Xenopus tropicalis: one gene and its partner. The protein of the gene in region 1 binds, or shares a complex with, the protein of each later gene. Links are inferred from orthologs where the notes say so. Each region holds a gene or a part of one and is shown on either strand. Other genes may lie near its edges. The genes, in order: aagab and ap1s3.

Region 1 (4,597 bases):
GCTCACATAGCACCCTGGGAAATTAATAATATGGCTAGCCCCATGTGAAATTTCAAAATTAAAAATAATGCAAGATTCTGCTGGAGAAGCTCTATTAACTGATGTGGTTTGTTTTTTTTTAAAAAAAAAAAACAACATGTTTTCCCATGACAGTATTCCTTTAAAAACTAGCTCAGCCTGCCTCCCCTATGTACAGTGATCTTGGTTGTAATGACTTCAGAACCAGCTGAGGGAGGAGCCAGCTGAAGTTTCATTCATTACTCTGTGTATGCACAGAAATCTGAGCATTTCTACAAATGTGACCTACAAAATCTATGGTTTACATCAGCAAAGATTCATATGTTTAATGCCCTTGCCCAATGAGCAAATCTGCCCACTTATGTCCAGTTGCACTCTTAAAGGAGAAGGAAAGTCATTTTGGCATTTTACTGCCAATAGATTTGCCACATAAGTGCCACCAAGAACACTATATTTATTCTGCAGAAAGCATTGCCATACCTGAGTAAGGAGCCCTAGAAACTCTCTCCATTTGCTTAAGATAGCAGCTGCCATTTTAAATAGCTTCCTGTTTGCACTCTAGCAGTCTTTGCAGTCTAGCTCAGATCACACATTCCTAAGGGAGGGATTTCTTAGCATTCTTGTGGGAGGGGGCGCAGAAGAGGGGAGAGAGGAGAGAACTGCGCAGACTCTGGCCCAGGGAATTAAGGATTTTTCTGAGAGAGGAAGTCAGACACCCTAAGAACATGTTTACAAAAAAGGAGACATGGAACAATGTGTTTCTTTTGACAGAGAACTCAGTGCAGCATTTCTGTGAGTGCTTATGGCTGTATTTACAGAGACATTTCTGATAAAGCTTACTTCATTTTTACCTTTCCCTCTCCTTTAATGGCTATTGAACAGAATCAATCATAAAAATGGAACTTGGTGTGAATTTTTTTCCACTGCAACAGACAGCTCCATACATAGAACACAGCATACCTGTATCCGTCCAGAACATGTTGGTGCATATTTTTCCTGATACATTCAGGTCCTATGAGCCTATGCTTAAGTGCCCCCTAAGGCACAGTGGGTGTCGTTTATCAACACTGGGCAAATTTGCCCATGGACAGTAACCCATGCCAAGAAATCAAATTGTTGCATGGTTACTGCCCACAGGCAAATTTGCCCAGCTTTTATAAATGACCCCCAGTGTGTATTCACAGTATTATGGTTACCGCCACTTTAAAGGGAAACTAAAAACTGCTGCACTGGACTTTAAGTACAAATTCTAAAATAATGCAACATATTATTAAGATTAAATGATGCTGGGAACTGTAGTCCAACAACATCAGGGTTGTATTCTAAAGCTTTAAAGGCTTTGAAAGCCTGGGAAGGTAGGTGTACACTATGCCGACTGAATGTCAGCTTTTCAGGCACTCTCCCATGAGCAGCGTCATTTCCTGCAAGTAATGATCAGTTCTATGGCATCACTATTTCTAAAGTATGTAGAAACTTGATTAAGTACTCTCTGTTTTGGTTTTCTCTATATCCCCCTTTTTATTATTATATGTGTCCTTCACTCTAAGGCTAATGTCTTTCTAACTCATCTCTAGGTACCATCCAACCCGCTTGTTACGCTCCTACATACCTGCTCCTCAACTCCTCTCTCATTCCCTCCTCACACGCTCGCATTCAAGACTTTGCAAGAGCTGCCCCCCTTCTCTGGAATTCGCTCCCACAAACTGTCAGACTTTCTCCCAATCTCTCTGCCTTCAAGAGATCTCTAAAAACACATTTAATCAGAGAAGCTTACCCTAATCTAGTTTAGCAATACCCTGTGCCCCACCTCTCACAACTCTGTCATGCCCATTCCCACACCTTGTGTCTCAACCTTTTCTCCTTGTAGATTGTAAGCTCTTTTGGGCAGGGCTCTCTTCACCTCTTGTATTGGTTATTGATTGCTTTATATGTTACTCTGTATGTCCAATGTATGAAACCCACTTATTGTACAGCGCTGCGGAATATGTTGGCGCTTTATAAATAAATGTTAATAATAATAATATTTAATTTGACTTAGTTACCATAACCAGCATGATCTAGTGTATTCCCTGCAAACCTTGAGACCTAATAATGTAACATATAAGAACAATGATCTGACTGACAGATTAGTAAAAGCTCCTCTTCCATAATACTGGGAACATGGGCAAGGGCCAGTGCAATGGGGCTTGTTACATGCACTAGAGTTGTGCAGAGACCTCACACATCTCCCTCTGTAACAAAGGAACAGTTTATTTCTGGGCCTCTGTAATACTAATATAAGCTAAAAGATGGCCCCGGCCCTTTACATGGCAGAAAGATGGGCAAGCAATGTCCCTTACGTTGCTGTGGGTTGCTGGATGCTGGGAGTTCGCACCTGGGCAGCCTGATGGCGATTCCTGCTTATAGCAAGGCACCAGTGCACCTGTTTGCAATAGCTAAGGCCACACACTCATGCAGTGTATGTGGGCATATTATTAGCTGTATGTTTATCTGCTAGTAGTCCCACATAAAGCCAGGGATAGGGACTGGTACTAGGGTAGTGCTCCCACAAACAAATATCATATGATACTGATGCCCGTTCCTACCCAGTGCCCTAGCCCTATGGTGCCTTCTTCCCCGCTAAACCCCTTCCATTCATTCCATGCACACAGTTCCCTTTATCCCAGCGCTTACGTGCCACCAGCTCTTCCTCGCTGAATCCAGGAGCGCAGCTCGTCAGCAGCACACAGGGAAGGGAAGCCATCTCTGCTCCCCCACAGCTTCCGCCCTTCACTTTGCCCCACTTCCCAGCGGCTGCCTTCCGACTTCCACCACACAACTGTTTTACTTCCGCCAGTCATCTCAGAACGAGGAGGAGCCTAGTTCCTTCCTGCCTTCTTTTTTCATTGGTATAGAGCGGAGCGCGTCTCGTTGTCATGGTAACCCAAGTTGGCTCTGACTTCTTGGGAAAGAAAGCATGGCTGGAACATCCCGGGGTCCTGACCCTGTGGGCCGCCTCCTGGTGCAGGTAAGGGACCGTAGGCTTATTCCCCCGGAATCTTTATTTAAGACAAGGACGTAGATAAATGTGTGCTATTGACGTTTGGCATTGCTGTGGGATACTTTCATTAATGATAAGATCACTCTGCGCATGCTCTGTAAATAGCCTCATAGTATAATACAGTGTTGGGCAATGTTTCCTGCTGCACCTTAAGCACATTAGTAGTGTTACTACAGCAGCTTACTGCCTCACCCACAGTGTTACCCCAATGCTATTCCTTCTAACTCTTGCACCTAAGGATGTATGTATGTATGTATGTATGTATGTATGTATGAATAACTGTATTTATAAAGCACTACAAGGATACGCAGCACTGTACAATCTTACAATATACACACAGGGAGGACAAGTGTTATAATAAATACAATAAATATATATACATTTACAGAGATGGTATGAGACAGAATAGGAAGGAGGTCATATATGAGGATATACAATCACTCATGGGTTCCCTCATCTCCCCATTTAGCATTATCTCATATAGTTATAGTCCCTCACAGGCAGTAAAAATGTTGCTCTAATATGTTGTGGTGGGAAAAAATGGCACCAGAAAATTGTGCATACGATACACCTATGATAATATGCACCCGGCAGGCATTTGTGTGCCCCATTTGTGAGTAATTTCCCAAGTGCAAAAAAAAAAATTTGCAGGAGCAATTTGCTAACTGTAATCTGGTCACTGGCACCATGGGCACCTTGCAAAAATTAGGAACAAAAACTTTGTATACAGCATTTTTGTGCCAAGTATTATGAATGTTTTTACTAAATAAGCCCTGTAATTTTCATTTTCTTTTCTTTTCCCTTTGTGGTTTACATTTTAGGCTCCTCTGGGGCCCGTGAGCAAAGTCAACACCTCCCTGCTGTGTGGGGCAGATATTTAGCTGCTTAAAGTACACTTACTTTGCTCTGAGCCCTACAGGGCTATGGATTCCCAGCATTTAATGTATGTTTAGTACTTATTGGTCCAAATTGGTGTCACAACATGTGTTTATAAATTGATAACAGCCAGATAGTATTTTTAGTGACTGAATGAAAAGAGACAGCATGGGAAGGCCAATAATTTTCTAACCCTTAAAAAATAAAAATGAAGAGCATTTTTTGCTTACATTAGGCCCATCTATTCTATATTTAAAAATTTAAAAGATTTTTTTTTTTTTTTTTTTAGAATTCTTTATTTTTGCATTTTCAAGTATGGGGAAGGGATACAGAAGGTAAAAGGGGGGAGGGTAGGGAGGGGAACATTGCACATGTTGATTTTACATTTCTTTACATATACAGTATCAGGCAAGCTGTCGTCAAGTTATTTCTATATTTTCCAGGTAAATATTCCTTAACTAAACCATATATACAGTGGTTGTAAAATGCTACTTCTATATGGCTGATTTGTGGTAATTTTTTCATAATGATCTTAAATAGTCTATCCAGGGAGTCCATATTTTCCTGTAGTATGTGCTTTTATTGTGAATCATGAAGGTTATTTCCTCCATCTGTCTAATTTCTTCTGTATTAGCTAGCCATTCTGCAAAGAGGGGGGGATCA
Region 2 (4,422 bases), on another chromosome or scaffold:
ACAAGGAGATAGTGTAGAAGGAAAAATTGGAAGCAGAATAATAATTGGCATGTGAGTGGTGCTCAAGGAAGAGAGAGGATACATAAAAGGGTGACTATAAACATGAACAAAAGATGGAATGAATGTAAAAAGAGAAGAGAATGTTATATGGGTGGAGACAAGGGAGGAAATGAGACAAGTACAAGGGGAAAAAGGTAAGTTGTACATAAAAGTGTAACTGTCAACCTGCTATATTTCCAGAAGTATTTAAACCCAATCTAAGGGTATAGTATGCTGAGGTTTGGGGCAAATTCTTACTTGATTCCCTGGATACCCCTGGAAATACAGCAGAGTGTCTGTTACACCAATATCCTATGTATCCATATGATAACCCTGTCATGAGTCAAGGGCCTAGCTTAGGGTGAGATACGGGGGGGGGGGGGGGATTGCTTACTGTTATATATCTGTAACCTTATGCAGGGGTTCTGGGATGGTGTACAACAGGTTAGCTCATAAAACTGGTGTGGGCTTTTTTTGTTCAAATACAACTGATGGCACAACACTTGGGGGAGGGGGCTGACACATAAATTGCAGAAATTGTTTCTTAAGGCCCTGCCAGTATTCCACAGAGACCAATCAGCAATAAGCTGCAATTGGATTTGTGCAGTTAAAACAAACAAAATAAAAATTGCTCTGTTGCACGTATGTTAATGAATTAGCCCCCAAAGATACCAAAATCATCCCAGTGTTCCAACTCAGCTAGCTATAAACAGCACATGGATGAAAAGGAGTGAATACTCTTAATACATATTTGTATATGCTAAAAGTACTCATTTCACTCAAGGCAAACGGATACTTCGGAAATTCTGTGGAACTGGTCTCCATTGCAAAACTGAGGATGAATATATATGTTTTGTACATATAATTCTTTAATAATGTATGCTGACAGTACAGCCAGGTGACTACTGTTAAGAAGATTTTCCTTCCAAAACAGTTGTCTTCTTTAGAACCATGTAATAGGCAAGCATTTTCCATCCATTTTCAAGCAATGCAAAAATGTAGAATCTGCACTGCTGCAAAAATGTAACTTCCTTGACAGTGATGCAGATTTTATATCATTGTCAGGGAAAGGGTTATTGCAAGAAAATATACCATGTGTGGGATTTATGGAAGATATCTCATTTAACTGTAACTGATGTATATAACCAAGCAAAATTTTAATAACACTTATGCCACTAAAGGCTTCTGTTTTGTATTAGTCTCTAGGTGAGGTTACATGTGTTCCTGTCAGGGTAACCAATAATGGTACCCTAATTCATTTAAAAAATAATCTGTAGCAAAATTTCATTTTCTGAAAACGTTACCGTGACCTATGTGTGAACGCCACAGCAGGGAAGCACAGATAAAACCGCTCGTCAGTAAAAGCCTTTTTTAGTGACTTTTTATTATATTTCTATTCAGGCCCATATCCCAGTCTGTCAAACCACTGCCTAGTTTGCCAGGTTAAATTGGACCCTAACAACCAGATACCGGCTGAAATTCCAAACTGGAGAGCTGCTGAACAAAAAGCTAAATTCAGGGTCGGACTGGGCCGCCGGGACACCAGGAAAACACCCGGTGGGCCCCAGTGGCCCAGAGCGACTCTTGCCGACGGTTTTCCTCCCGACACGTTAAACTTAAGTGTGCTCAGTGAAGGACGTCGGGCGGGGGGTTAGGGAGGCTCAGCGAGGGCCCCTAGGGAGTGCAGGGGACAATGTCGACGGGGGCACCCCCCAGTCTGAGCCTGGCTAAATTCAAAGACTGCAAATAATTAAAAAGGAAGACCAATTACAATTGTCTCAGAACAGCACTCTCTACATCATACTCAACATCATAACTTAAAGGTGAACAACCCCTTAAAAGGAGAAGGAAAGGTACAATCACTGGGGGGGGGGGGGTGCCACAATGTTAGGCACCACACAGTGTGTAATTGCTGGGTGGTGCTCCTGCTAGGAGAAAAGCGCACCATCCCAGGTTAGTTGCGAGAGCGATACTCTTCCCTCACACCGCTTGTGCACACGCAGTAGAGTGAAAAGCCAAACCTTAACAAAAAAGTCAGCTTTGTCACAGCCTCGGGATTCTGAAGCTAGATGTATGTATGTATGTATGATGAGAGAAGGAAGAGGAACGCTCGTTTGCACTGCAGTTTACCCTAACAGGAGCACCAACCTGATAACAAGCTGACAATGCAGTTTTTCAGGTACGTTTGGTTCAGTTTGTAGTTTCTTTATCAGCTGGAAGAAATGCACTTCCCTAGCCTTTTGGAGTCCAAAGAAAGAGCTGTTTATAAATAAAGTTGCATTTCAATCTGCTTGAATTGACCTCAAAGTATTTTCCATCTAGCAGGGAGTGCTCTCCCCACATACCCCCTAAATCATTCACCAATAACACTGCCCATCAATCTGAGGTACAAAGATAGCCAGGTACAATAAACCACTAGCTTTCCTATACAGGAATGGCACTAATTAACATCCCCATTTAACCCTTTAGATTGCTGTTGATGGGAGTTATAGTTTAGTATAATCTGCCAATCCCTGTATGTTTAAAGGGCAAGGCTTGCTTGGGCAAGTTACCTCATTACCTGACTAATACTACTAAGGAAAGAGCACTCTGCCCTTGGCTCCCGGTTTATTGATCAGATTAGCAAGCGACAGGTGCAGGAGTCACATGATTCTCACCCATACAGAGCCAAACCAATGTCCCCCCCAAACACATAAACGCTAGGAACTATTCCCCGGTTCTACTGCGTTCCCTCTAGCCCCACTCCCCTCTCGCTCCCCCCTTACCATTTCTGTTCCGGCGGAAAGGGAAGCGACAGGTGACACTGGCACAGGTGAGGCTGGAGCGGCCACTCCACCGCAACTGCCCCGCCCACCCACGTACCTGCTGTAAAGACGAGGCCCCACCCACTAGGTATTTCCACAAGCGTACCTGGGCATGGGAAGCCCCACCCCAATACAACTGCGAGCCAATTACTTGCAAAAATAGTGACGCACCGCCCACCAAGGTACACCCCGTGCAACCAAATATGACAGTGATGGGGGAGAGATACCTCGCCATTGCCAACCTGAGTGTTGTGCGTCGACTCTGCTGCCCCCAAGCTGTGTGCACTGGTACTACAGATACAACGTGTGCAGGGGAAGTATAGTGCTAGCCGGTACTGTGGGGAGAATGGCTTTGTGCTCTGGGATTATTCGAGCCTCAGGGGCAATACAAGCTTCAGCATAGGGCTTGTGGCGAATATGCTCTCTGCTTATTGTTTTATTTCTGGCACAAAATAGGAAATAATCAGACGCTGAAACTAAAATCACGTTCTATTTATTGTATTTATGTACACAATCAAAACAAATCAGCAGTCCCCTGAGCATTAGAAATGTGTATGAATTAAAGGGCACCTATTGGTGGACAATTACTCTCCCACAGGAGAACTGGTGGGGGAACAAATTTCTACTGCTAGGTGCTGTTTAAGAAGAGTGCTGGTGTTTACCTTATAATCCCATAGCAAAATATATAGGTGAGTGTCTGGCCCTGTTTAGTTTCTTCTGGGACAGATCTGGACCACCACCATTAAGGTCTACAAGGGATATTAAAAAAGAAGAGTAAAGCCATCTTAACATACCTTAATATTTGAAAGGCTGTAACTAATCAAAAAGGAGGCCTACCTGCTGTGTATGCTCATCCAGTTCATGGCACGTAAAGAGTATCATTTATTCATAAATAATCTATAACTGATATATACAGTGTGGTCTGGCAAAATGTATCTGAATGTCAGTGGGTAAATGCTTTTAAGGCTAATGTCCCATGGAGCGAGTAATTGCCCCTGATAGATCTCTGCTACTGTGGGCTTCTTACAGCTACAAAATAGTAGTCGCCCGCAATAGCAGAAATCAGAGATCAGTTGCAGGTGACTAACTCGCTCTGTGGAATATTAGCCTAAAGGGGACCTTCTACTTTTGCAGCTCTAGGTTGAATCAAAACAAACAAGCCACTGAAACTTCAAATCTCACAATTCCAGCTAGGCAGACACACCTGATAAGCAAGGCCAGTCAAACGAAAGGGAACCTTCTGCTTTATTTCTTAGCCCCCCACCCCACACAGAGCACTCCCGCAACCACACTGCTGCCTTTGTATACAATTCAAGGGCTTTCCGCTTCTAGCTCTTAAAAAACAGACTTATGCAGCTTAGTCATCATGTTTGGCCATATAAAGGCTAGTATCTGTCTCAGGTACATGGGGTGCTGAATGTATACACAGATTGTTGGATGGTTTACTTTTCTATTTCTTGTTGCGATCTGTCTGGACAGCAAATTGCCTCTCTCAACATCTCTTTGGGATGCTTGGCTGACTTGGAGGATGGACAGAAAGGGGCATATTTATTATAGCATGTGAGCCAACAACACCGGT

The links.
Region 2: the proteins of aagab (region 1) and ap1s3 are in contact, whole or in part, in a crystal structure (PDB 9DDT), measured with the Homo sapiens proteins. The link is inferred for Xenopus tropicalis from reciprocal best matches to the Homo sapiens genes AAGAB and AP1S3. Residues at the interface, in NP_078942.3 of Homo sapiens: Asn51, Lys52, Tyr53, Tyr54, Glu108, Val109, Met110, Ile111, Gln128, Ile132, Gly135, Phe136, Glu137, Asp151, Phe153, Pro154, Glu155, Arg161, Gln164, Ala165, Asn167, Ala168, Asn169, Val170, Met176; in NP_001034658.1 of Homo sapiens: Arg10, Gln11, Lys13, Arg15, Gln37, Leu40, Ser41, Arg61, Tyr62, Ala63, Ser64, His85, Val88, Asp92, Phe95, Val98, Glu100, Leu101, Asp102, Ile104, Phe105, Asn106.

Annotation. Positions count from the first base shown.
Region 1 is NC_030679.2:117,439,881-117,444,477, forward strand, and holds the start of aagab (alpha- and gamma-adaptin-binding protein p34), read right to left. Parts: upstream 2,805-4,597; 5' UTR 2,762-2,804; coding exon 2,692-2,761; intron 1-2,691. Other genes in the region: iqch (IQ domain-containing protein H), read left to right, coding at 2,975-3,025. UniProt on the Homo sapiens protein: May be involved in endocytic recycling of growth factor receptors such as EGFR.
Region 2 is NC_030681.2:125,309,753-125,314,174, forward strand, and holds the start of ap1s3 (AP-1 complex subunit sigma-3), read right to left. Parts: upstream 2,870-4,422; 5' UTR 2,808-2,869; coding exon 2,805-2,807; intron 1-2,804. UniProt on the Homo sapiens protein: Subunit of clathrin-associated adaptor protein complex 1 that plays a role in protein sorting in the late-Golgi/trans-Golgi network (TGN) and/or endosomes.